7 linked regions of the Cricetulus griseus genome follow. The protein of the gene in region 1 interacts with the protein of each later gene in a biochemical or structural test. Links are inferred from orthologs where the notes say so. Each region holds a gene or a part of one and is shown in the gene's direction. Other genes may lie near its edges. The genes, in order: microtubule-associated protein tau, Fyn, Mapk13, Tuba1b, Lck, Casp6 and Mark1.

Region 1 (3,500 bases):
TTTCCCTCACTGGAATGACCCCACTCGTGGTCTATATAGGAGACCCATGGGATTTGGAATTAGTTAGTGACCAGCTATCTAACCTATAAGACTAGTTCTGAGAGACTGGCTCCCAGGAGCCCCTTCTACTGGGGTGGCCTCCTCCAGGGTGTCCTCTCAGGAAGCAACTGCCATTCCCCAGAGCAGGCGTCGTTGCTGGGTCACATGAAGGACCTCTTGGGCAGGCAGGTCTCCCTGTGTGTCATGTCTACTCACTCATGCTTGCTGAGACACTAAACCTGTGGTTTCCACTGTGTGCCTGCATCCTTGTTGGTGTTGCTTTGCTTTTTCAGTAGAGGATGAAGTGTGCAGGAGACTGTGTGCCCAGACACCATGTGACTTTTACCCTGAGTCATAGCACTGTCCTGGGTCCTGTTTGCCAACTGGTGGTCAAGGACTGAGGGAGCTCCCTGGATGAAGCACTCCCATCTTGTCGACTCTTCTCTGAGTCCTTTCCAAGGAGATCATCTGGAGGCTGCATAGGCCGTCACTTCTTCCTCCACTGTGTGTGATGGGTCTTTCCTCAGTTAAGGATTTATGTTTATATGCTTAATATCTAAATAGAGATCATGATCACACACAGGGACTAGGCACCCTGCTTTTCCATGAGAGTCTCTTGGGTTTCTGGGATTGAATATGCTCAGGTCCCATAGTTACTTTGTGAGGACCTAGTTTCCTGGGGGACAGGGATTGGCTGGATTTGGGGAGCATATTTTCCTCCCTGGGTGGGGTATATCCAGTAGTTAATGGGAGCCACTGACAAGTGGTCCTTTGGGCTTTGCATTGTGTTACACCCCCTAGTAACATAACCCCCTTCGTTTTCTGTCTCATTCCCACCCCCTCTGACCTGCAGGTGCAAATAGTCTACAAGCCAGTGGACCTGAGCAAGGTGACCTCCAAGTGTGGCTCATTAGGCAACATCCATCACAAACCAGGTAGCCCTTGAGGAAGGAAGGCTTTGGGACAGGAAGGTGCTGGCTAGTCTGGCAGGTGCTTCCTGGAACAGGCTAACCTGAGCATTGAACATTAAATGTGAAGGTGCTGTGTGGCCTGGGAAATGTGACTGTCTCTGCTGGCTCCTGAGCAGGGTGTTTTCAGCCTAGACAAGGGGTGGAGAAAAAGGAGAAGCTGGTCCTAGATTCTATCTTGTGGCTCTCCAGCAAAGTCTGTAAAAGAGGACCAGCCATGGACTGATTGGGCCCCCAAAGGCAAGCTATATGGATGTCTCAGGCTTGTCCCAGCCAGCATGGGGGGACTTCATCAATGGCTATAATGTAAGATCTTTCTGGGCTGCTGTCCTACTCTCATGGTGACTGTTTAAACAAAGCACCCTTCCCAGGAAAGCAGTACAATTCACCTCCCCTCCTGCCACACCCTGGTGTGGTAACCCAAGTCAAAGGGAGAGGAGTAGGGTCTCTCCTCATTGTACATTTTTTTAAATTTATTTATTATGTATACAACATTCTGCTTCCATGTATATCTGCACACCAGAAGAGGGCACCAGATCTCATTATAGATGGTTGTGAGCCACCATGTGGTTGCTAGAATTGAACTAAGGACCTCTGGAAGAGCAGTTGGAGCTCTTAAACTCTGAGCCATCTCTCCAGCCCCTCATTGTACATTTAACATGCAGTACGATTCCAAGGTCTTGAGGGGCTGTGGCTTACAGGATGTTCATATGAAAATCTCCACCGCTGGAAGGCATCCAGTTTAGAACTCAGCATGTCTTCCGCTGGCCAAGCTTCCTGTATCTTTGAACCATTTCAGGAGGAAGATTTTGCAGAGTAAATACCTGATGAGCATCTCGATTAGAGATGGGGCAGGTGATTTGGCACCATTACAAGAGCTCCCTTGTGCCTAATTCTCCTTTTAGATATAGTAGAGCTCTGACAACTCCAAGAAGGTGGGCTGTTCTTGTGATCACTGGCCAGCCTCTGTTGGAGTCAGAATGGGCACATTAGTGAATGTTCCCCTCCAGAAGGGTGATACCTGACCTCTTTTTTTTATCAAGCCTTCAGAAGCCCCAGGCACTTTGCTCTGCAGTCTGTGACCTCATTTAATATATGCTAAGTCCCCCAGATCACAGATGACAAGAGGCTCTTGTGTGGGTTGTGTTCCAGGAGGTGGCCAAGTGGAAGTAAAATCTGAGAAGCTGGATTTCAAGGACAGAGTCCAGTCGAAGATTGGTTCCTTGGATAATATCACCCATGTCCCTGGAGGAGGGAATAAGAAGGTAAAGAGGGACAAATGGGGGGCACATGGGGATATGGGGGTTAATGGAGTGGACAAGGCTGGTCCTAGGGGGTCCCATATGGACTACCTAGAGGTAGATTCTCCCCCTCAGCTCAATGTACCAAGAACAAGGCACCAGACCAAAGGCAGATCTTTTCCACTAATTACTAGAAAGCTAGAGCAAAACAGTGACTCTGGCTGAGGCTGTGGCTCAGCTGGTAGAGTGCTTGCCCAACATGCACAGAGCCCAGGGTTCCATCGCCAGCACTGCATAGACTGGGCATTAAACTGCCATCCCAGATGGAGGTAGGAGGATCAGGAGTTCAAGACCACCCTCAGCTACATATTAAGTTTCAGGTTAGCTTGTGCTACATGAGATTCGCACCAAACAGACAGACGAAACCCAGGGTTCCTGCTGGGCAATGGTGGTGCACACCTTTAATCCCAGCAATTGAGAGGCAGAGGCAGGTGGATCTCTGTGAGTTCGAGACCAGCCTGGTCTACAAGAGCTAGTTCTAGGACAGCCTCCAAAGCCACAGAAAAACCCTGTCTCAAAAAACAAAACAAAACAAAAACAAAACAAAAAACAAAACCCAAAACAACACCACCACCACCAAAAAAACAGGGGTTCTGAAGAGAAGTGTTCACACTGGGGCTGCTGGGCCTCGAATTCCCAGCTGTGTCTGGTCTCCAGGCTGAGGAGAATATGTGCAGGGTATGGGAACACAGAGGTGCGTGGCTCTAAGCAAGCTCCTCTTGCACCTAACACAGGGTGTGACTGTAGGGTTTTTCCTCCAGCATAAACAACCTCCACACCTGCCTGGCCCCATATTGTGGAGGCAGCCTCCTCTGCAGGGTCCTCCCAGCAAATGACTGAACAGAGGGAATGGCCTGGAATCAGACCCAGCCTAGCACGAGAAAGGGTACTTACCCAAGGTGGCTCAGCTGTTTTTCTACTTGGCCTTGTTGGATGGCCCTTGGGATTCCCCTGCCTGGCGAGTCCCCACGGCACCCTGCTTTCTTCTGCAGCCATGTGTCTGCATCTGCTGCTTATATAAAGCCCCTGGTAGTACTATGAAGCATCCGTTGGACTGCTGAAGTGCCCAACACATGGCTGCCATTTCTGTCACACACCACTCAATTGAAATGCAAAGCCTCATACATACTGCTCCCATATGGGGTCTATTGGCCCCCGGGTGCCACAGGGAGTCAGTCACAGGCCTGGTTCC
Region 2 (3,500 bases), on another chromosome or scaffold:
AGAAGGGAAAGGGGCAGCCACACATTTTATTCTTACGTATGCACTTTCTGAAATTAGCAAGGGCATTTTCGGAATCTCAGAATATGTATGCTAGTCCATTAGATTACAGTGCACAGAAACCAAAGCATTCTGCACCTGTGTGTATGGGGCACGCCCAGGGGACCATCTGAAATGTGCTCATCTACCTCCAGTGAATATGTTTGCTTAGCTTATGTTGGTCAGATCTTCTACAGCCTGTGCACACTGTTGTTACATGTTCTGCTCTTCTCTCCCTTGCCTCTGCCCTGCTCCTTCAGAGAGAGCCGCAGGTCTCTGCTGCCGCCTAGTAGTCCCCTGTCACAAAGGGATGCCAAGGCTTACCGATCTGTCTGTCAAAACCAAAGATGTCTGGGAAATCCCTCGAGAATCCCTACAGTTGATCAAGAGACTGGGAAATGGGCAGTTTGGGGAAGTATGGATGGGTATGCTGAAACTCAATTTCTCTTTCATTAGCTTCCCCGTTTGGGAAATCCCAAACGTCAAAGATGGAAGGTGACCATGAAAACGGACAGTTTGAATTGCTCAATTTTTATTTTTAAAAATTTGTAATTTCTCAAAAAGATAGACATGAACAAGAATGACAGATGGCTTGGGCTATGCTATAGCTGGTGGAAGGACTATTCCAGCCTGCATAGTGTCTTACCCTTCATTGCCAGCTGCAAATATTGGCTGAATCTTGCCCTTAGGGCAAGTCACCTTCCACCTTTCCTAGTGCATGCATGATTATGGATTATAAGGACTGTGTTTTCTTTATTAATTCCCTTTCCTGTAGAGAAAGCTGATGGTTTGTGTTTTAACTTAACTGTGATTTCATCAAGTTGTACCCCACAAACTTCTGGATTGTCTAAAGATGCTTGGGAAGTTGCACGTGACTCGTTGTTTCTGGAGAAGAAGCTGGGGCAGGGGTGTTTCGCTGAAGTGTGGCTTGGTAAGGCAGAGGGCACATTCTGTTTTGGCTGCATCTCAAAGCCGATGAAAAGGACAGTTGTGAACAGAAATGCATATGTGACCACTGAGACAAAGACCCTTGACCTGTGTGACTCGATGGGCATCGAGCCCAGGTTTGCAGAATGTGGTGGCACCTTGCTGTGTTCATCTGTCCTATTTCATGTGGCTCATAAGCACCTGCACACAGGAAGCCAGCACACTGCCAATGTGGGGCTTTCTCTTCCTGTGAGATGGGACGGTAAGATTCTGTGTGTGGGCAGCTATAGAGAAAGGTCATGGACTTCTGCATGGCAAGCCTGGCTCTAAACTCTTGCTGGATAATTAAGCATAAAAATGGGGCCTGTTTAACACCTCTGAGCCTCAGTTCCTCATCTGTAAAACCAGAGTCACTGGATTATTTTGAGGGTTATATAAGACATGTTTAAAATCTCTTGTAGATCTTAGATCCATGCATATCTTTCTTCATTTGGTTGTCAGTAATGCCGACTGCACTGGGCCCTTGAGATGGCATTTATAATCCTGTGGATCAGATGCACCTTGGCTTATAGACAATCCATAGACTTAGATCCCTCCCCAAAACATCTGCCCATGAAAGTGTACCGGAATCTCCCTTCCTTAGAGTCTAAAAGGATATAAAAAGGTACATCTGGTCTTCCGGGATGGCCCACAGCAAGAGAATTCATGGAATCAAAATGCTTGAAGCATAGCAGGTAGCATGCAGAAACATAAACAGATGCACACATGGATGATGGATCACACACACATGCATGTATGTATGTTAGCTGTCGTTCATTATGCATATTACAATAGTGAGTCCATATTAATGTGCCCATCCCTGTCTAGACTTTATCTCAAGTGTTATAAAATCTGCTTATATAACTTGTTTCTCATTATCTACCCAACTTATAATTGAAGTTGTAAGTCCCAAGGAATTTCTTCAGATCCTACAATCAGGAAGAATTGGACTCCATAAGAAATTTTATCTTCAAACAGTTGAAACTATCAACTTTAACTCATCATTACACAGAGCACCAAGGTGTTGTTTCCCATGGAACGGAAGAGTTGGGATAGAAGTCTAGACAGTTACCAAGCTGCTAAGAGAGGAAGGCTGCACAGTGCTTAAATGAGAAAACATTAACAGTTAAATCATGGAGGCTACTTAAATGTTGTCCAAGCTCCCATTTACACTGAGTGGCAGATATTTTCTGAGATAATTGAGCTCTTTACGCCACTTTCGTTGGTTTTTTTTTTTCCCCCTCTGTGGGATGTATGTTGTAACTATGTTTTAACAGAATAATAAAATGCTTTGATATACAGGCTCCTTGCTTAGATCTGAATGTCAGATTCCATATGAGTAAATCTTAGTTTGAACCTATATTCTCTTTCAAATTGTAAGCAATATAATCTAAATTAGCAGAGTTTTATTTTCCCTTTAAAAATTATCCTCCAAAGTCATCAGATAGAAATCAAGTAAGCCAGAATTTTGTCTTTTTTTTTTTAATTTGAGAACCAAAAGAGAATGAGAAGCTAGTCCATTGCTGTATTCTACAGATGAACTAACTGATAGTGGATGTAAACCAGGCCTCACCTTTGGGTTAGCTAGATTTTTAAAGAAGTATTTAAACATAGCACATTTAAATACTTCTCTTCTTGCCCCGCTGCTGTTTGGTTTTGCAGCTCACCTGCTAGAAGTCATTGTTCTTGTAGTGACTCCTCAGAGCCTGAGAGATTTCCTTTCCTGGGGAAGTATGGGCAGGGAGATGCTGTGTTCCTTACCTGTGCTTATGAGCACATACAGAATGACTGCTGAAGGACTCGGTCAAGTAACTCACCCAGGGCAGACAATGAAAATCTAGAACCAGTTTCCAAGCATCCTCCGTGTGTGGCCATGTTTTTACGAGGCACACCCTCTAAGATGGAATTTAATCTCATTTCTTCCAGTCTTTCCCTGTTATCTAAGGGACAGCTGTTGGATACCCAGGCCAACTCTAAATCCTAGACTTTCATCACTTAAATGAGAGCCCAAAGCTTTTTTAAATGTACATTCACAATTATATGGATGAGCTAAAAAAAAAAGAGTGATATATATCAAATGGGAAATCTTAGCGAATTATTAAACAACTATAGGTAAACTCAATTTTTTCTGTTGACATACATGACAGAGTCCTTTGCAGTTAATTGTTTTTGCTTGTAAAAAAAAATTTAAGATTTTTAAAACTTGAAGTCTGATTTTATGAAAATAGTTTCTGGGTTGACTTTCTGTTGTGGGACATTTGTAGGTACCTGGAATGGAAACACAAAAGTAGCCATAAAGACTCTTAAGCCAGGCACAATGTCTCCAGAGTCCTTCCTGGAGGAAGCACAGATCATGAAGAAGCTGAAGCATGACAAACTGGTGCAGCTCTACGCCGTGGTGTCTGAGGAGCCCATATACATCGTCACGGAGTACATGAATAAAGGTTGGACAGCGCTCTCCCCCTCCTCCTCCTCACGCTGCCTTGCAGCTTGCAGGG
Region 3 (3,032 bases), on another chromosome or scaffold:
GGTGATAGCTGAAGCCCGGGGACAGGTCATGGCAAAATGGGACACAATGATGTTGATCCTGAGTCCATGTTTACTAGAAGGTGAGCAGATGGAAACTGGTGAGGCAGTTGACACTTAGCAAAAGGACACATGGGGGGGGAAGGAGTCTGTTCTCCGGATGGTCACTGGTGACCTTGATCCCAGCCGTTTAGGACAGAAGCCTTCTGCATGACAAGGTTGTCAGAGACAGTGTGTGAAGGCAGTGGAGAAAGGGGATGGGGAAAACTATTTCTCCAAGGTTGGAGAATGAAGAAAGGCTAAAAGATTTATTTTATTTAAAATTGTGTGTGAAAGAGAGAGCGAGCATGAGTGTAGGTGCCCTGAAATTACAGGCAGTTGTGAGTTGCCTTATGAGGGTGCTAGATCTCGAACTTGGGTCCTCTAGGAAAAGCAGCCAGTGCTCTTTTCTTTTCTTTTTTTTTCCCTTCAGTTTCCCTTCCCTACACGGTTTCTCTGTAGCTTTGGAGCCTGTCCTGGACCTTGCTCTGTAGACCAGGCTGGTCTTGAACTCACTGAGATCCACTTGCCCCTGCCTGCCGAGTGCTGGGGTTAAAGGTGTGCTCCACCACTGCCTAGCTGAGGCAAGTGCTCTTAACTGCTGAGTGACCCCTCCAGCCCTCAGCAATAGCATACAGAAGCAAAGAAGCAGGCAAGGAGATATACATACACACGCAACCCTGGCAGTCAGGAGGCAGGTGGAGCCCTGTGAGTTTTCAGCCAGCCTTTTCTACATATTCAGTTGCAGGGCAGACAGGCCTACATGGTGAGACCCCGTCTCAAAATCAAAGAAACGGTGTGTGAGTGTGTGTGTGTGTGTGTGTGTGTGTGTGTGTGTGTGTGTGTGTGTGTGTGTTCATTCACTTTAGGGGACTGGGGTGTAGCTCAGTGGGTAGAGTACTTGCCTAGCATGAACAGCCCTGGCTCCACCCCTAACTCTGAATAAACTGGGGATGGTGGTGTATGCCAGTGATGCCAGCATTGGAGAGACAAAGGCAGGAGGGTGGAAAATTCAAGACTATCCTCAACCTCGTAGTGAACTAGAGACAAGTCTGGGATACTCATCCTGTCTCAAGAGGGAAGGAAAGAAATATATATTATGGTGTGTGTGTTAATCTGTTGCTTTTTGTTTGTCCTGCACTTTGCCGTTACCACCTTGAGTCACAGTTCCGGGTTGTTGACATTGACCTGTTTCAAAATCCCACTTGAGTGCTTTAATAGCACAGGCCCCTTCTTCCTCTGCCTGCTGAAGATTGCTTCCTGCTGCCTTCCTGGAAAGACATATTTTGTAGTTAGTGGAGCCTGCTGGGCTGGGCGTGACCCTCCTGTGGGAGAAACTTTTGGATGGAAGCAGAAGCAAATGCTGGCAGATACTGCTGGCTCACAGCTGGTCTGTTTGGGGAGCCGGGCGTGGAGGAGGGCAGTGCCAGGGTACCTTTGAGGAGTGTGAACACAGCCATCTGGTTTTACTGAGTATGCTTCAATGCTGGTGCTCACCCTGAGCTCCGCCAACCAGGATGCTGTGGCAGGGGTGCCGGGTAAATCCTGGCTGTGTTCGTGTGTGTGGAGCCTCATGTGTGTATGCAAGTATGCCTGTATTTATGTGTGTGTGCATCTGGTCAGAGGTCAGAGTAGTATTGTTCCTCAAGCGCTATCTACCTTGTTTTCTTTTTTCCTTATGGTAGTTTGCAGGTGTGTGTGTGTGTGTGTGTGTGTGTTCTCGTGCGTGCGCTCCTGCATGAGTTTATGTGCACCATATGCTTTCAGGTGCCCACAGGGTCCAGAAGAGGGTATCAGATCTTCTGAACTGGACTTCCAGGTGGCTGTGAGCCTCCTGATGTGGGTGCTGGGAACTGAACCTGAGTCCCCTGCAAGAACAGGACGTGCTCTTTACTGCTGAGCCATCTCTTCAGTCCCTCTCCTTGTCTTGTGAGGCAGGGTCTCTCACTGGTTTGTCAATTAAGCCAAGCTGGCAGGCTAATGAGCCCCGGGGATCCTCCTGTCTCCACCTTCCCACACTGGGATTACAACCGAACCCCATCACACCCAGTTTTTGTACGTGGGTGCTGCAGCTTGAACTCGGGTCCTCGTGTAAGCGAACACTGTGTCAGCTGAAGCATCTCTCCAGCCCTGTTTTGTGTTGTCATCGTTGTTTTTCTGAGACAAGGTCATGTTGTGTAGACCAGCCTACCTGGGCCTCAGCATGTAACGCAGGCTGAACGTTAACATGTGCAAATCCTCCCACTTAAGCTCTGCAAGGGTTGCGATTACAGGCATGACCCATCACACCTGACTCTTCTTACGCCTTCTTGCCTGGTGTTGTGCCCACTTCTGCCCCTCTGGAGTCACACCCGGGCCTGTGGGAGGCTGGGCCTGTGGGAGGCTGGGCCTGTGGGAGGCTGGGGACTGTGCTAAAAGCCGCCTCCTTCCAGCTACCTGGTGATGCCCTTCATGCAGACTGATCTGCAGAAGATCATGGGGATGGAATTCAGCGAAGATAAGGTCCAGTACTTGGTGTACCAAGTGCTCAAAGGGTTAAAGGTGAGTGTGGCCTGCATGGTGGCCAAGGGCTGCTCAGTGCTGAGACTCAGCCCCTTGGTGGGAAAGAGGAGGATTTGAGGATGCTGGCATGGAAGCTGGTGCCCCGATTCATCTCTCTCTCTCTCTCTCTCTCTCTCTCTCTCTCTCTCTCCCTCTCTCAGTACATTCACTCAGCTGGTGTCGTCCACAGGGTGAGTACTTCCTCTATCGTAGTTCTCAGGGACCCTGGAGTCCTTCCACAGTGTGTGGGGTAGGAACTGGGTGGCTGGCCAGTCAATTGGGAGCAGTACAGTGACAGTTCTCAGGGACATGGACTGAGGATGTCTCAGCCTTGAGAAGGTGATGTAGTAGAATGGGGGGGTAGGAGAGACACTTTGGGGAGTTGCTGCCACTGAGCGCTGTGCTGGCACTTTAGTCTCTCAGGACAGGCACATGGTGGAAGAGGATGTAGAGTC
Region 4 (4,234 bases), on another chromosome or scaffold:
GTGTGGATACATTTTTTGTATGCTTTTGATACATGGTTTCAACGGACCTGGAGCTAGCCCAGAAAGGCCAGTCTGGCTAGCCACTGAGCTTCAGAGGTCTGCCAGTCTCTGCAGCATATAAGCACAAGCCACCATGAAAGTGCTCCCCCCCTTTTGGGTTCAGGGGAATCAAATTCAGGTCCTAATTGAGCTATTTCCTCAATCCACATTACCTCTTTTAAACAATGTAACTACAAAGCCCCCGAAATTACCTACATAGTTGCTGCTGAAGCACTTGGGGGCCTTGTCTTCTAACACTAGGCGCCTGGCTTCAAGTGTTTGCTCTTTCTCCTATTTAATTAACTGGCTGAGGCATTCCTTTACTAGGACTCTTGGAATTCTGCTTTCCTGCACTATGTGGAGAATCCTAGGGCACCTGACTAAGAGGCGCCTGAGGCTCTGAAAAGGGGAGTTTCAGGCTGCACAGCCGGCACAGGATCTGTGTTCCCTGCTGCCACTGCCAGGAGGACATTTTGAATAGCTGAGTGATTGCAATCTGTTCCGTGAGGGCGGTTTAAAGCCACGTGTTAGCCTTCATCACATTATGAATTTCTAAGGTCAGTAGTAGTTTATGGCCTTGGAATAAATGGGGAGGGTAGTTTATTGATTATAATCTGGTCATCACAGCACTCAGAAAATTTGTATAGCACAAGAATTCCTTGCTGTCTGTATTCTTCAGTGAGACATTTTCCTTCTAGTTTTCCCTCACTTCTTCGATTTAGCTTACCACTTCAAATGATTTTAAAAATCTTTTGAAAGAGCCCTTATTTAGGGCAATCCCATTAAATTGGCAGCTAGAGGCTGAAACTCTGGCCTAGTCCGCCCCTATTTTAACATTTGGATGATTCAAGTTGCTTCCAGTACTAGGTACCTTTAGTTTCGAGAATGAACCATGGCAATATACTAAGTATAGTGATAGGGTTTTATAAGGGGCTTTCACAGTAGCAGGTAAGCACAGCCTTTAAAGGAAGCAAGGAGAAAGGCAAAACTCACTCATCGAGTGTGGCCACATGAATGATCAGCTGAGTTATCCGGACCACACCTTTCAGCGCTTGAGGATGCCGCACTTTTAACACTGCGGGCCCCTCAAGTCCCCCGGTTCATCAAGACTGCGCCAGTCTGCCCAGGCTCCCACACCCTCTTGTCTGTCTGCGGCAGCGTCCACTCCCTCCCCGCAATGCAGCGGCGCGCCCCAGTCTGCAGCATCGGCGCACGCCCAGGCGGCTGCCCCGCCCCGTGGGCCCATGCAGGGAGGGGACTGCGAGCCGAGCCCGCCTCTGCGGCGGCCAGCCGGGCGCTCAATGGACCTGGCCGGCCGGGGGAGGGACCGTGGCCACCCGGCCGCGCCCGCCCCGCCCCAGCAACTACTTAAGAGGCTCTGGAGCCGACGCCTCCACCTCATTGCGTTACTTACCTCGACTCTTAGCTGTCGGGAACGGTAACCGTGACCCGCTGTCTGCTTTTGTCACCTTCGCCTTCTAACCCGTAGCTACCATGGTGAGTGCATCGGTGCAGGGAAGGGAGGCGAGGCGAGGGCTGCTCGCTGGGGCCTGGGGCTGAAGCGTGTGTGAGCAGGAGAGCAAGGGTCCCAGGCTGCTGGGGGCTGCCTGTATCTGAGGGAGAAGGGGCTCTCCAGGGTACCCCTGGAAGAGCGGGCGAGCATGGGGCCCCAGCTACTGGGGGTCGCCGGGGTCTGGGGGAGATGGGGTTGTCCCGGGTTCCCCTGGGTGAGCCGGGGAGCATGAGGCCCATGCTGAGGACCCATGAGCCCATCCCTGAGGACCTCCGGGATGTGGAGAAGGGGCTCTCCCGGGCCCCGCTGGACTTGGGTCTGCATCCGTCCACGCCCTGCACAAGGCATTTACAGCATGGCGCTTTCAGACTGCAGTCTTCCCGCGCGCGGGCCCTGCCCCCACCCTACCCTTGCGTTCTGCTTTTCGGGCGCGCGCACATAGCCTTTCCCCGCCCTCACTTCCTCTTCGGTGCGAAAAGGCGGGGGCGGGAAGACGCCAGGAGACAAAGACGCATGCGCGACCGTTACGTTCCCGCCTGAGAGCGGCGGGAAGAGCCTCTGCAGTGTGCGCGTGCGCGCTGCGGCACTGCGGGCTTAATTCGTTTAGGGTGTGTCTCCTGTATTTGGGGGGGACGGTGGGGCAAACCCTGGCCCTCGAATACTAAGCCCCCTCTCTACCTCAGCCTCGATTTTCCTTTTGCTTTTAATGAAAGCAATAAGAAATGTGGGGCAGGTCTCGGACTATATTCCACAATACTTAGCAATAACAGCGTGAAGTCTCAGCTGTCTCGAGTTAGGAATTTGTGTGGGACCAGGTGGTGACATTGAAGGGTTTGAGGGTAACAGAAATCGGATCTGAGCGGCTTATGATTCCCTGCTGGACCAGGACGGATGCGGGGGGAGCTGAGCTCAGCGCCTACAAATAGAGGAAGTGGCAAACCAGCTGCATCCCGGGCGCCTCGGTGCATGCACAAATAAATGCTCCATTATCTCATTCCGTAGAGCCCTGCCACCAGAACCTTCCTCATTGCTTAAGTCACATGCTTCCTCTGCCTACAGTTGTCCGGAAGTCTGGGCACAAAGCAAAAGTAGAACTCTGAGGGCACAGGGTAAATGAAAAGCCTTCGTATCTTGGTTTTCAAAAAAGGAAGTGTGACTAAGCACTTCTAGGTGTGGAAAGGCTGAAATTAGCTTTTTTTTTTTTTTTAATAAATGCTTGCGAGTTTTAACGATTTGTCACTTTGTGCCATGGTTAGAATTCCAGCTGCTTGCGGCATTACTAATAGTTTTTTTTTCCCCTTCTTTCTGTCCCACAGCGTGAGTGCATCTCCATCCACGTTGGCCAGGCTGGTGTCCAGATCGGCAATGCCTGCTGGGAGCTCTACTGCCTGGAACATGGCATCCAGCCTGACGGCCAGATGCCAAGTGACAAGACCATCGGGGGAGGAGATGACTCCTTCAACACCTTCTTCAGTGAGACAGGCGCTGGCAAGCATGTGCCCCGGGCCGTGTTCGTAGACCTGGAACCCACAGTCATCGGTAAGTGGGCCAGGGGCTTCCCTGAGGCATTCTGTCCTGGTCACATACTCAGAACCTCTCCACACACCGCCGAAGAGTGAGTGAGCTTGTGTGTGTCAGTTACTGTTGTGAATGGTTGATTTCATCTCCTTTTCCAGATGAAGTTCGCACTGGTACCTACCGCCAGCTCTTCCACCCTGAGCAGCTCATCACAGGCAAGGAAGATGCTGCCAATAACTATGCCCGTGGCCACTACACCATCGGCAAGGAGATCATTGATCTTGTCTTGGACAGAATTCGCAAGCTGGTAAATACCATAGATGGATGGATTCATTTAAAATGCAGTGTGGGGGAGTGTTGGGACCTGCCAAAATAAGTAAAGTCTGTTCACTACTGATAAACAATGCCTTTTCTTTTTTTCCTACAGGCTGACCAGTGCACAGGTCTTCAGGGCTTCTTGGTTTTCCACAGCTTTGGTGGGGGAACTGGCTCTGGGTTCACCTCCCTGCTGATGGAGCGGCTCTCTGTCGATTATGGAAAGAAGTCCAAGCTGGAGTTCTCCATCTACCCAGCCCCCCAGGTTTCCACTGCTGTGGTTGAGCCCTACAACTCCATCCTCACCACCCACACCACCCTGGAGCACTCTGATTGTGCCTTCATGGTAGACAACGAGGCCATCTATGACATCTGTCGTAGAAACCTCGACATTGAGCGCCCCACCTACACTAACCTTAACCGCCTCATTAGCCAGATTGTGTCTTCCATCACTGCTTCCCTCAGATTTGATGGAGCCCTGAATGTTGACCTGACAGAATTCCAGACCAACCTGGTACCCTACCCTCGCATCCATTTCCCTCTGGCCACATATGCCCCTGTCATCTCTGCTGAGAAAGCCTACCATGAGCAGCTTTCTGTAGCAGAGATCACCAATGCCTGCTTTGAGCCAGCCAATCAGATGGTGAAATGTGACCCTCGCCATGGTAAATACATGGCTTGCTGCCTGCTGTACCGTGGGGATGTGGTTCCCAAAGATGTCAATGCTGCCATTGCCACCATCAAGACCAAGCGCAGCATCCAGTTTGTGGACTGGTGTCCCACTGGCTTCAAGGTTGGCATTAATTACCAGCCTCCCACTGTGGTACCTGGTGGAGACCTGGCTAAGGT
Region 5 (4,114 bases), on another chromosome or scaffold:
ATGTGAGTATTTAGGTACGGGGGGGGGGGGCTGTGTGTGTGTGTGTGTGTGTGTATGTGTGTGTGTCACTATAGATTAAAAGACTGAGCTGGGCAATGGTGGCACATGCCTTTAATTCCAGCACTCAGGAGGCAGAGACAGGTGGATCTCTGTGAATCCGAGGCCAGTCTGGTCTAACAGAGTGGGTTCCAGGACAATAAGAGCTGTAACACAGAGAAACTCCGTCTCCAGAACAACAACAACAAAAAAGACTGAAAGATGTAGTAGGTCTTCCTTAATATCAAAGTGGTCAAAAGCATGATATTGTACACCTTGATTAATCCCTAGCACTCACAGGCAGGCGTATCTCTGCAAGTTCGAGGCCAGCCTTGTCTGCACTGGTCTACATGGTGAGATGCAGGCCTGCAGCTCAGCCATGGCTACATATGTAAGACTTACCGTTAAAAAAAAAAGAAAGATTTGAATCTCCTGCTCATAGTAAATCATTCTCTGAGGACCAATGCTCTCCAAGCAGTTCCGAGGTGGTAACAGCTTTAGGGAAGGAGGTACACAGACAGGGATTCCAGAGGCTTCAGGGGGAGTCCCCACTCTGACTTGATTAGAACAGCTCTACTTCATTTGCTGCGTCTTTGAGGTTCTGCTTGACTTCATTTGACAAAAGTTTCCACAGCTCAGACAGGCAAGCAAAAGCTGCTACAGGCAGCAGAGCGACTGAAGGGTTTCCTTCTGCTGGTGAGAAGCAAAAGCATGTTAGCAGAAACAGTCTGAAGGAGCCTGTGCTGTGAGTGGGGGTGGGGTGCTGGGGGCTGGCAGAGGTCAAAGGTTGACTCCAAGGAACAGGAGCCTCTCAGCTTCAGTATCTAGGCAGCGGCCTTGAAATTATAGGGACATGCATCCTCCTTGGTGGAGGAGGGTGAAATCAAAATTTAGGTTTCCCCCGGGGCTTGGCCCAGTGTGTGTGATGTCTCCCAGGTAATCCCTCCAAAGTAGGGAACTAGCAGGCCTGAGGAGGCAGGAAGTGGGTAACTACACTAACAAAGGTGCCTGTGGCGGTTTGCCCACCCCAGGTGGGAGGGTGGGGACTCGATTTGGGCCTGGGCCTCCTGTGAACTTAGTTGTTGCTTGAGGGCTCAGAGTGAACCAAATCAGGATCTAGAATCCCACATTTTGGCTCTGGCTCTTCTATATGGCCAATGGGAGCCCCAGAGCAGACAGTCTCAGGAGTTCTGTAAACTCCAGGGCAATACTCTAGGATGTCTGATGCTGGGGGAACCGACTTAGGGGAGCTCCTTCAGGCCTCTCTACGTTCTTTCAGGGATCATGGGCTGTGGCTGCAGCTCAAACCCTGAAGATGACTGGATGGAGAACATTGATGTGTGTGAAAACTGCCATTATCCCATAGTTCCACTGGACAGCAAGACCACGGTAAGAGGAAGACGGAATGGGTAAAGGGAGGCTGTGTGACCAGGAGGAAAAAAAAAACAAAGCAAATGAATCATAACTAAAGGTCCTGGAAATAGCCAGGTGGTGGTGGTGTGTGCCTTTAATCCCAGCACCTGAGAGGCAGAGGCAGGTATATCTCTATGAGTTCAAGGTCAGCCTGGTCTACAGAGTGAGTTCTAGGACAGCCAGGGCTGTTGCACAGAGAAAGGTACTGGAAATAATAGAGAACCCATGTCCGCTGGAGTACAGTAAGGAAGACATCAGAGAGCAGAACGGACCTTCCTAAGGTCAGGTGCACACAGAGCTGGTGAATCCAGAGAGAAGGCTGGAAAAACGGAAAGAGCAGAGGTGAGGGGAGCCGGGTCAGAGAAAAATGACCCAAGCCTCATTTCCTACTCCACAGCTGCCCATGCGGAATGGCTCTGAAGTTCGGGACCCACTGGTCACCTATGAGGGCTCCATCCCACCAGCCTCCCCGCTGCAAGGTGACTCCATCCAGCAGGGTGTGAAGCCTGTGGATGGTTGGCCGTTGGTGTCCATACCCTCTGTACCTACCCTCAGCCTTGTCTGCATCCTGCCCTGTGCCCCTTGAACTCCATTGTTCCCGTCAGCCCTGGGCTGCTGCTTCTTGACTCTTCGTGTCTTTACAGACAACCTAGTTATCGCTCTGCACAGCTATGAACCCTCCCATGATGGAGATCTGGGCTTTGAGAAGGGTGAACAGCTCCGAATTCTGGAGCAGTGAGTATCCTTCTAACCCACCTTGCCGTGTGTGTGTGTGTGTGTGTGTGTGTGTGTGTGTGTGTGTGTGTGTGTCTGTCTGTCTGTCTGTCTGTCTGTCTGTCTGTCCGTCCGTCCTCAGCCCTCCTACATCCCTGACAGGCCTCAGGTGAGGGCTTTTGGAATAAGGTAGAAAGCACTAGAATGATCATACCAGGGAGTGGTGGCCTGGCCTAACTGGGAACTCTGAGGGTTTCCAGGGCCTACGTAGGCCATGCTGATGGTCTCTCTGTGGCGCAGGAGCGGTGAGTGGTGGAAGGCTCAGTCCCTGACCACCGGCCAAGAAGGCTTCATCCCCTTCAACTTCGTGGCGAAGGCAAACAGCCTGGAGCCTGAACCGTGAGCACGGGACCGTGTGGGAATGGAGGAGAACATCTAGGGATCTCAAAGAAGGGCGTGGTCTTGGGGGTGGGGGATGTTTGCCAGTGATGGAGGGATAATTGACCAACAAGCCAGGCAAGCCTTTAATCCCAGCACTCTGGAGGCAGGGGCAGGGGCAGGCAGATCTTTGAGTTCCAGGTCAACCAAGGCTGCAGATTTAAAAAAAAAAAAAAAAAAAAAAGAGTCGACCAACAGCCAATGGTCTTTCTTCTGCTCTTTGTAGCTGGTTCTTCAAGAATCTGAGCCGTAAGGACGCTGAGCGGCAGCTTTTGGCGCCTGGGAACACGCACGGATCCTTCCTGATCCGGGAAAGTGAAAGCACCGCGGGTAAGAGGCAGGACCCTGTGGGCGGGGCCTCTGCTTGTGGGCGGGGCTTCGAGTTGAGGGCCATCACCTCCCGGTGAGGAGGTGTGCGGGGGTGGTGGCCTCCTGATTTACCGAAGGCAATCCTCTCTCTCCCTCTCTTTTTTTCCTCTTCAACTTCCCTCCTCCTCCTCCTCCTCCTCCTCCTCCTCCTCCTCCTCCTCCTCCTCCTCCTCCTCTTCCTCCTCCTCCTCCTCTTTTCCTTCCTCCCGTCTCCAATCTTTCTTCAGGATCTTTTTCACTGTCGGTCAGAGACTTCGACCAGAACCAGGGAGAAGTGGTGAAACATTACAAGATCCGCAACCTAGACAACGGTGGCTTCTACATCTCCCCTCGTATCACTTTTCCCGGCCTGCACGAGCTGGTCCGCCATTACACCAGTGAGCAATGGCAGAGCGTTTTCACCTGTACCCACCCTAGCGGCCTATCTCCCCCCAAGTCGTTCCTAGGGACCCTCCAAGCATCGGCAGTACCTGACCCTCCACCCTGCAGGCTAACGTTGGGTGACAGGCTCCCCTCCCATGCCGGCCTATTTCCCCTGTGCCGAACGTGGAGAGAGGTAGGGGCTGGAGGGAGCACCCAAGGTCTCCAGCAGTGACCGCCTTACTCCTCTCCTCTGTCATTGCAGATGCCTCTGATGGGCTGTGCACGAAGTTGAGCCGTCCTTGCCAGACCCAGAAGCCCCAGAAGCCGTGGTGGGAGGATGAATGGGAGGTTCCCAGGGAGACACTGAAGTTGGTTGAGCGCCTGGGAGCTGGCCAGTTTGGGGAAGTGTGGATGGGTGAGTGTGGAGGTCAGAACTGATTGGAAAGAGAGGAGGAGATGTCACCAAGATGTGAGACACTGGCCTCTTCAGGGCAGCGACTAGTTCAGGGATCTCTGCAACTCCCTCACCCGCAACCCACCTCCAGGGTACTACAACGGGCACACGAAGGTGGCAGTGAAGAGCCTGAAGCAAGGGAGCATGTCCCCCGATGCCTTCCTGGCGGAAGCTAACCTCATGAAACAGCTGCAGCACCAGCGGCTGGTCCGGCTTTACGCAGTGGTCACCCAGGAGCCCATCTACATCATCACAGAATACATGGAGAACGGTGGGTGTCCCTGCTATGTCTAGCCGCTTGAAGGCGCTGTTGTCGTCCACTGTCTT
Region 6 (2,762 bases), on another chromosome or scaffold:
TTAAAAACACCCTATTGAGTAAAAGTTGGAGGAGCATGTGTTCTGTTGTCCTTTGAGGAAATGCTTTGCTTTTCCTATAGTGTGGTGTTGCTATTAGGTCTGTCACTAGTAGCCTGAGTGGTGTTGCATTCTGCTTCTGGTTTCTTCAAGGCTTCCATCAGGAGAGGAGGTTAGACTTGGTCAACATCTTTTTCTTCATTTCTCAAAGCAATGATGTACTTTGTCTTTGAGTCAATTTGCATATGATGAACCATCATTATAATCCTGCAGTTAAGCTAACTTGGTCATGGTATGTGTTTCTTTTCATCTGTTGTTGAATTCATCTTACAAGCATTTTACTGAGAATCTCTGTATCCATGGTCCTTCGGGATGTTGGTCTGTGATGTTTTTGTTGTATCATTAAGTAACTTGGATCTTAAAGGAGCCTCCCCATTTTTTCCTAAATCATTTTTCTGTACTTGATATTAACTTTTCAAGACAGGGTTTCTTTATGTAACAGCCCTAGCTGTCCTGGAACTCACTTTGTAGACAAGGCTGACCTCAAATCCACAGAGGTCCACCTGCCTTTGCCTCCCGAGTGCTGAGATTAAAGGCCTTCACCACCATGACTGGCTGAAGAGCTAATATCTTTAGTGAAATTGCTTCAAACTTTAATAATTAGTTTTTAAGCCAGCCATGGTAGGACACACACCTGTAATCCCAGCACCAGGAGTCTGGGGGTGGAGGATTACTGGATATTTAGGGCCAGCCTTCTTAGGCAAGAGTGTCTCAAACAACCAAGATTTAGAAAGAAAGTTTAGGGCCAGCCTGGCTATAGAATGAGGCCCAATCTTAAGAAAAAATAAGAAGAAAGGATAAAGATGTATTTTATTACAGGATGTTTGTATTTATTTTAAAAAGTACACCCTTTTCCTGCTATTTTGTAAGTGTATTTTTTTTAATGCCCATAACTTGAAGTTCTACATGTGGATAACATACTCTTATTTTCACCTCTGCATGCATTTTGCGGGGCATCTGTAGTGTCGACCTCAAGCCATATAGATGCTGATTGCTTCCTGTGTGTCTTCCTGAGCCACGGCGAAGGCAACCACATTTATGCATATGACGCCAAAATTGAAATTCAGACATTGACTGGCTTGTTCAAAGGAGACAAGTGTCAGAGCCTGGTTGGAAAACCCAAGATATTTATCATTCAGGTAAGACTGATCATATCATTATTTTAATTATAAAATTCAGTTGACTATAATGGTTAAAAAGTCAATCTCTAAGTTTCTCCAATAATTGGAAAGGTCCCTTTTGAATCCTGGTCTAATAGAGTTGTGTTTTCAGCTGTTAACATTTATTATAAGAGTATTTTGAGCCAGGAGGTATTGGCACACACCTTTAGTCCCAGTACTCGGGAGGCAGAGGCAGCTGGATCTCTGAATTTGTGGCCAGTCTGGTCTACAGAGTGAGTTCCAGGGCAGCCAGAGCTACACAGAGAAACCCTGTCTTGAAATACCAAAAACCAAACAAAAAAACTAAACCAAGTGATGATGGGGCACACATTTAATCCCAGCTCTCGGGAGGCAGAGGCAGGCAGATCTTTGTGAGTTCGATGCCACCCTGGTCTACAGAGCGAGTTCCAGGATAGTCAGAGCTACTACCAGTTAGACCCTGTCTAAAAGAGAAAAACAGGCAAGGCTGGGCTGGGTGTGGAGGACTTGCCACATGGAAAGGAAGACCTGATCACCCAGGACCGTGCAAAGGCAGCCTGGGCTTAGGTCTGTGGCAGCTGGAGTGCATGCAAGCCTGTGGAAGTGATACAGGGGTAAGCAGGCAACCCTCCCTTGCCTCATCCCTTTTTCACTTCCCCAAGCTCACTGCCAAGCTGCCAAATAGTTTCAGAAATAACAAGCAAACGTTTCGAGCATGAGAAAATATTTATTTGGTCCTGGAGATTTCAACAAGTAAATTTCAGGGTGGAGCAGAGTAGTTTAGCTTGTCACATTGAAGAGTGGGATTTAGCTGCATGGCAGACCACTTGCCTGGCAAACGTGAGGCTCTCAAACTAGAAAATAGGAGAATTTAATGCTAGCTTCTGACTCGAAATTAATAGTTATAAATTTAGAATTCACTTTAAAGTGGGGATAGGCAGAGAGGAGAGGGAGGGGGAGACAGACAGAGAGAGAATGCTCAGGGCTGGAGGAATGGCTCAGTTAGGATTAACTGTGTCTCCTGCTGTTCTTGCAAAGCCACTGAGTTTCCATCCCTGCTCCAGGGATCCCAGCACCCTCTTCTGAACCCTGGGGGCATCTGCACTCACTTTTGAACATTCACAAAGAAACTTAAATTAGTTCATTTGTTCATTCAAGACAGGGTTTCCCCATGCAGATATCCTGTGGCTATCCTGAACTCACTCTGGAGACCAGGCTGGCCTTGAACTCAGAGACCCACCTGCCTCTGCCTTCTGAGTGCTGGGGTTAAAGGTGAGTGCCACCACCTTAGATACTTAATTTTTAAACATCGAAAAGCATATTGTAAACAGAAGTTGAGGGCTTATGGATAGGTATCTTTTTGAGTCCGACAATGCTATTTCAACTATTGACAAATTATGACTGAAACTAGACCGAGAAAACACCCTTCAGAAATAATTACCTGATTGAATCAAAATGTTTAGGTAATCATGACAGTTTTTAAAAAGAAGGATATACTATCAGCATATCTTGGTTTACTGGGGGACAGGTTATAAACATTGTCTAAAAGGAAACGTTACCAGGGAA
Region 7 (4,268 bases), on another chromosome or scaffold:
TATTAATTCAAGTTAGGGAACAGGCTTGTTTCACATGTAATTCTTTACCGACTTGCCAGAGTCTTGTGCCTTCCTTGCCTTTAACTGGCTTAGTGTGGTCAGTTGTGCAGGAATTCATGTCTGTGACTAGAAACCATCTGGATGCTGTAGTAGGAATTTTGGTTTTGCCTTTGGACAACTGAATTTTCAAGATGTGAGCCTTGGACAAAGAAGCCCAGTTTTTGCCTCTGTGTTTTCATCTGTGCCTTCCTTTCATGAACTCACCAAGCACACCTGACTGGATGGAGGTTTTGTTCCCATTTCACTGCCTGAAAGTTCTTGCACTGTTTCTGTTCCTTATCATATTCCAGATGGAGCAGACAGCCACCTATTCTGGGCATCCTACCTAAGGAAGCCCTTGCTGCACCCTCCCTCCCTTGTTTCATTTTCAGACAGTAGTACTATTTATAATTACTTTGTTTTCCCTATTTTCTCATTCTTACCTGTTTCACTTCATCTTTGGGGGAATTTTTTTTCAGCTACTTACAGACTTAAAATATCCTTTCTACTTGAGCTAGCCAGAATGGTTTCAGTTGCTCACAGAAAAGAAAGGTGAGTTTTAGGAGCTGGTTGCAGGCACCAGATAATCCGGCATTAGGGTTGGTCACTTCGGGTATAAGGTAGACTGTTTTTGTCCCTTTGTTTGTATCATTTCCACTAGTGAACACAGTGCTCATCATGCACTGTCCTAAGGACCTTCATATGAATCCACAGAATGTCCTCAGATAGTCCTGACGTAAAGAGCCTCGTTAGTATTAGCTCCACTCCCCAGTTAAGAACACAGACGCCCAACAATTAAGTGTTTCCATGGATAAGCAGCTCTCTTCCTCTCTCTCTCTCTCTCTCTCTCTCTCTCTCTCTCTCTCTCTCTCTCTCTCTCTCAGACACAGTAAGTTGTGTGAGGAGGTGGGGCAGGAATTGATTAGGGGTATATTTGGAACAGGCAGCTGGTTTGGCAGTTGTTTTTATATGCCTGGCCAATATAAGGAAGAGTGGAGAGTGACTGGCCCAAGCTCCTGGTTAGTTTAGAACCCACCCTCTTAACCTGTGGGTCATGACATTCAGGGTTACATACAAAATGTGAAGTTCCCAGGATTGACCACAGGGAAACGTTTCTGAGTGTGCATGCTCTATTCAGGGAGTGGTCTGCGGTAACTGCACTTTTGGTTTCAAATAAGTGAGTTTATTAACAAGAGTAAAAGAGCAGATAATAAAACATCTAGTTGGGCGCTTAGCAGATCTGGCAAAAATGGCTGGAGTAGTCCAACTGCAAGGACAAGGGAGAGGGAGAGAGCCGGAAGCAAGCAGCAGACCCAACATCATCAGATTAGGTGTTCACAGCTTCCAACAGACAGGGCTGAGGAAGCCCGGTTGAGGCAGCAAGCTGGGGTTTTTGCCTGAGAGGCCCAGGCAGAGCAGAGTTGTTGCCCTCTGGTGAGGGTGAGGCTTCCATGTAGAACAACAAATAACCAGCAGCAGGTAGACGGCAAAGCATCTTAAGTCAAACATGTACAAGCTCCTGCAGAAATGACTGGGAAACCCCACTGAACAGTCATGCTGGAGTTTCCGACTGGATGTCTATGGATGAACTGTGGCTTCGTGTTGTCACCACAGGTATTTTATACCATGGGATGATCGGTACTGACCTCCGAAGGGCGTGGTTCACCTTCGAGCTGTTCTCAAGGGCAGACACAGTGTGGTTTTGTTTTCAAGAGTTTATTCTTACATATTGTGTATATGTGTGTGTGTCTCTGTGTGTCTGTGTGTCTGTGTCTGTGTGTGTCTATGTGGGGGTTTGGGCATGCAAGTACAGTACTTGTGGAAGACAAAAGTAGCTGGAGCTAGAGTTAGAGGCAGTTATGAGCCCCTGGGTGAGGGTCTTGGGAACCAAACCTGGGCCCTTTTCAAAAGCAGTAAATGCTCTCCAGCCTGTGCATAGCACTTCTAATTCCTTAGCTGTTTACAATTCTCCTCCCTCCCTATAACAGGGCCAGGGAGCCAACTGCCCAGGACAATGAGTCTCAGAGGACTCTTGAGAGAACAGGCTTGAATCCCAGACATTGGAGCCCACCTTGGTCCTAGAATCCACTGCCATCAAGTACAAACACACGTGATGGTTTACCAATAGTTTATATTGTAGTGTAATGCCCAAGTATTAGTTTACAGTCAAACATGTAATGAATCCAAGGTGTCTTTGGCAGCATTCATACATATATTTCACAATGTGTGACTTCACTGAAGCTCTGGTTTTGAACACACAACACCCACATGTTGTACTGTGCACATCGTCACTTCACACAGTGCCAAAAAGTGCTGCCTGAAACACTGACTTAGAGTTGAGACTTTTGTATGTTAAGGATGAGTGTTTTACTGTGTACATGAACTTTTCTTACCTTACAGAAAATGGTTTAATTATGGGAAATAAAGACTTGAACGTTTTTCCTAACACCATTTCTCAGCACATATGCACACAGGTGCATCTTTGTAATGTCCTGGGTTACAGTGAGCATTAGCTACTCTCCTCACTGCTCTGACAGATGTCTGACAGGAAGCCACACGGGAGAGAAGGGTGTGTTCTGGCTCACAGTTCAAGGGAATACAACCTATCATGGCAGGAAAGCATGTTAGCAAAAGCATGAGGCAGTGGTCATCACTGCATCCACAACCACTCAGGGAGCAGAGCAATGCATGCCAGTGCCCAGCTCTCTTCCTTCTTTTTATTTAGTTCAGGTGGATTTTCCCACCCTTATGAATCTCATTCAGGTAATTCCTCAAAGGTATGCCAAGAGGCTTGTCTCCCACATCCTGTCAAATGAATTCCCACACCACATAAAGCACTGCTGTGGCCTCAGCATTCGGGAAGTGGAGGCAGGAGGTCATTTTTACCCCTCATGATGTGATGCCAGACTAGTGTACATGAGAAAAGGGAAGCGGTAGTAAGAAATAAAAGGAGCCAGGCATGCCTGTAGCCAGCTTCTAGCAGGCATGGCTTACACTGTCCCCTACAAAGTGGGGAGGGGGAGATAGAGAGACAGAGACAGAGAGAGAGAGGCGGGGAGGGGCAAGGTCAAGCCGTAGAAAAGAGCATGCAGCCCTGGATCAGAGGAACAACCGTATTTGTGAGAATTTTTGTCGTGGTAGTAAGGATGCTGCCCTTCTAGCGAGGTGGTAACCATGGACGATGTCACTCAACCTAAAATGGTATAGTGCTCTGTGTGCTAACCAGCAATCCGTCTACCTATTGATTTTGAAAATCAAAATACAGACTTAAAGATGTGTAGAGAATTTTACTTTAAGTGTTGTACCCACTGGTAAGGGCCCTTAAGTTGGGAAGCAATGATAAAGTGTGTTCACATTTTAAAATAGTGTACTTTCATTAAAGATGAACTGTTAGTGAGCATTATTTGTAGTCTTTTAATAGTCCTTTTATAATAATCAAAGTGATCATGACCTCTTGTGCTTTTCCCTAGCATACATGTGTGGATGGATATACTGAGGCACACATCCAGCCTACCAAATCAAGTAGCAGACAGAACATTCCCCGGTGTAGAAACTCCATTACGTCAGCACCAGATGAACAGCCTCACATCGGAAATTACCGCTTACAGAAAACAATAGGGAAGGGAAACTTTGCCAAAGTGAAATTGGCAAGACATGTTCTAACAGGCAGAGAGGTAAGTTTCCATGCCTTTTGATATTTGCCTGTACCTTGCTCCAGAGTCTTGGTTGATGTTGGGGAATGAATGGCACCTGTGCCTGGTGCATACTGGAATTTATGCACACAGAACATTTGCAGCCAGGTCGGTTTCATGGCAGATCTCCTCACCATTTAACACCAAGGAAAGACTTGCCTCTACTTTATAGCATCTCATAGACCAGGCGTGCTGCAGATTAGCTGAAGCTTATCTCTTATGTGAACACGCCTGGTTACTGTTGCTACTCTGCATTTCTATGAGTCACTACCTAGATTAAGTTAGATGTAAATGTGTAGAAAACCACTCACTAAGTTTTATCTGGTTGGAGATAACATCAAGCTACTACTATACAGATAATTTTTCAGACGACAAGAGAATTTACTTCTGAAATACCATTTGTTTGTTTAGTGAGGGTTGTCAAGACAGGGTCTCTTGTAGTCCAGACTGGCTTTGAACTTGCTGCCCAGCTGAGGCTGACCTTGAAATGTGGGTCTTCCTGCTTCACTTTCTAAATGCTGGGATTGTTGGCTTGCA

Evidence for each region.
Region 2: of the proteins of microtubule-associated protein tau (region 1) and Fyn, one has a biochemical effect on the other in vitro, tested with the Homo sapiens proteins (10 studies listed by BioGRID and IntAct, with this or other methods). The link is inferred for Cricetulus griseus from reciprocal best matches to the Homo sapiens genes MAPT and FYN.
Region 3: of the proteins of microtubule-associated protein tau (region 1) and Mapk13, one has a biochemical effect on the other in vitro, tested with the Homo sapiens proteins (2 studies listed by BioGRID). The link is inferred for Cricetulus griseus from reciprocal best matches to the Homo sapiens genes MAPT and MAPK13.
Region 4: the proteins of microtubule-associated protein tau (region 1) and Tuba1b form a complex in vitro, tested with the Homo sapiens proteins (2 studies listed by BioGRID). The link is inferred for Cricetulus griseus from reciprocal best matches to the Homo sapiens genes MAPT and TUBA1B.
Region 5: the proteins of microtubule-associated protein tau (region 1) and Lck form a complex in vitro, tested with the Homo sapiens proteins (2 studies listed by BioGRID, with this or other methods). The link is inferred for Cricetulus griseus from reciprocal best matches to the Homo sapiens genes MAPT and LCK.
Region 6: of the proteins of microtubule-associated protein tau (region 1) and Casp6, one has a biochemical effect on the other in vitro, tested with the Homo sapiens proteins (2 studies listed by BioGRID). The link is inferred for Cricetulus griseus from reciprocal best matches to the Homo sapiens genes MAPT and CASP6.
Region 7: of the proteins of microtubule-associated protein tau (region 1) and Mark1, one has a biochemical effect on the other in vitro, tested with the Homo sapiens proteins (4 studies listed by BioGRID). The link is inferred for Cricetulus griseus from reciprocal best matches to the Homo sapiens genes MAPT and MARK1.

The regions. Positions count from the first base shown.
Region 1 is NC_048600.1:117,356,253-117,359,752, forward strand, and holds part of microtubule-associated protein tau, read left to right. Parts: intron 1-892; coding exon 893-974; intron 975-2,159; coding exon 2,160-2,272; intron 2,273-3,500. UniProt on the Homo sapiens protein: Promotes microtubule assembly and stability, and might be involved in the establishment and maintenance of neuronal polarity.
Region 2 is NC_048595.1:262,034,638-262,038,137, forward strand, and holds part of Fyn (tyrosine-protein kinase Fyn), read left to right. Parts: intron 1-296; coding exon 297-461; intron 462-811; coding exon of another isoform or gene 812-967; intron 968-3,266; coding exon 3,267-3,446; intron 3,447-3,500. UniProt on the Homo sapiens protein: Non-receptor tyrosine-protein kinase that plays a role in many biological processes including regulation of cell growth and survival, cell adhesion, integrin-mediated signaling, cytoskeletal remodeling, cell motility, immune response and axon guidance.
Region 3 is NW_023276806.1:233,879,500-233,882,531, forward strand, and holds part of Mapk13 (mitogen-activated protein kinase 13), read left to right. Parts: intron 1-2,468; coding exon 2,469-2,577; intron 2,578-2,738; coding exon 2,739-2,768; intron 2,769-3,032. UniProt on the Homo sapiens protein: Serine/threonine kinase which acts as an essential component of the MAP kinase signal transduction pathway.
Region 4 is NC_048595.1:395,400,751-395,404,984, reverse strand, and holds the start of Tuba1b (tubulin alpha-1B chain), read left to right. Parts: upstream 1-1,434; 5' UTR 1,435-1,533; coding exon 1,534-1,536; intron 1,537-2,868; coding exon 2,869-3,091; intron 3,092-3,228; coding exon 3,229-3,377; intron 3,378-3,497; coding exon 3,498-4,234. UniProt on the Homo sapiens protein: Tubulin is the major constituent of microtubules, protein filaments consisting of alpha- and beta-tubulin heterodimers. Microtubules grow by the addition of GTP-tubulin dimers to the microtubule end, where a stabilizing cap forms.
Region 5 is NC_048595.1:23,478,236-23,482,349, forward strand, and holds the start of Lck (tyrosine-protein kinase Lck), read left to right. Parts: upstream 1-1,314; 5' UTR 1,315-1,320; coding exon 1,321-1,425; intron 1,426-1,846; coding exon 1,847-1,928; intron 1,929-2,093; coding exon 2,094-2,184; intron 2,185-2,463; coding exon 2,464-2,562; intron 2,563-2,827; coding exon 2,828-2,931; intron 2,932-3,197; coding exon 3,198-3,347; intron 3,348-3,595; coding exon 3,596-3,748; intron 3,749-3,878; coding exon 3,879-4,058; intron 4,059-4,114. UniProt on the Homo sapiens protein: Non-receptor tyrosine-protein kinase that plays an essential role in the selection and maturation of developing T-cells in the thymus and in the function of mature T-cells. Plays a key role in T-cell antigen receptor (TCR)-linked signal transduction pathways.
Region 6 is NW_023276806.1:28,997,363-29,000,124, reverse strand, and holds part of Casp6 (caspase-6), read left to right. Parts: intron 1-1,020; coding exon 1,021-1,196; intron 1,197-2,762.
Region 7 is NC_048598.1:9,725,744-9,730,011, forward strand, and holds the start of Mark1 (serine/threonine-protein kinase MARK1), read left to right. Parts: upstream 1-1,468; 5' UTR 1,469-1,593; coding exon 1,594-1,653; intron 1,654-3,509; coding exon 3,510-3,713; intron 3,714-4,268. UniProt on the Homo sapiens protein: Serine/threonine-protein kinase. Involved in cell polarity and microtubule dynamics regulation. Phosphorylates DCX, MAP2 and MAP4. Phosphorylates the microtubule-associated protein MAPT/TAU.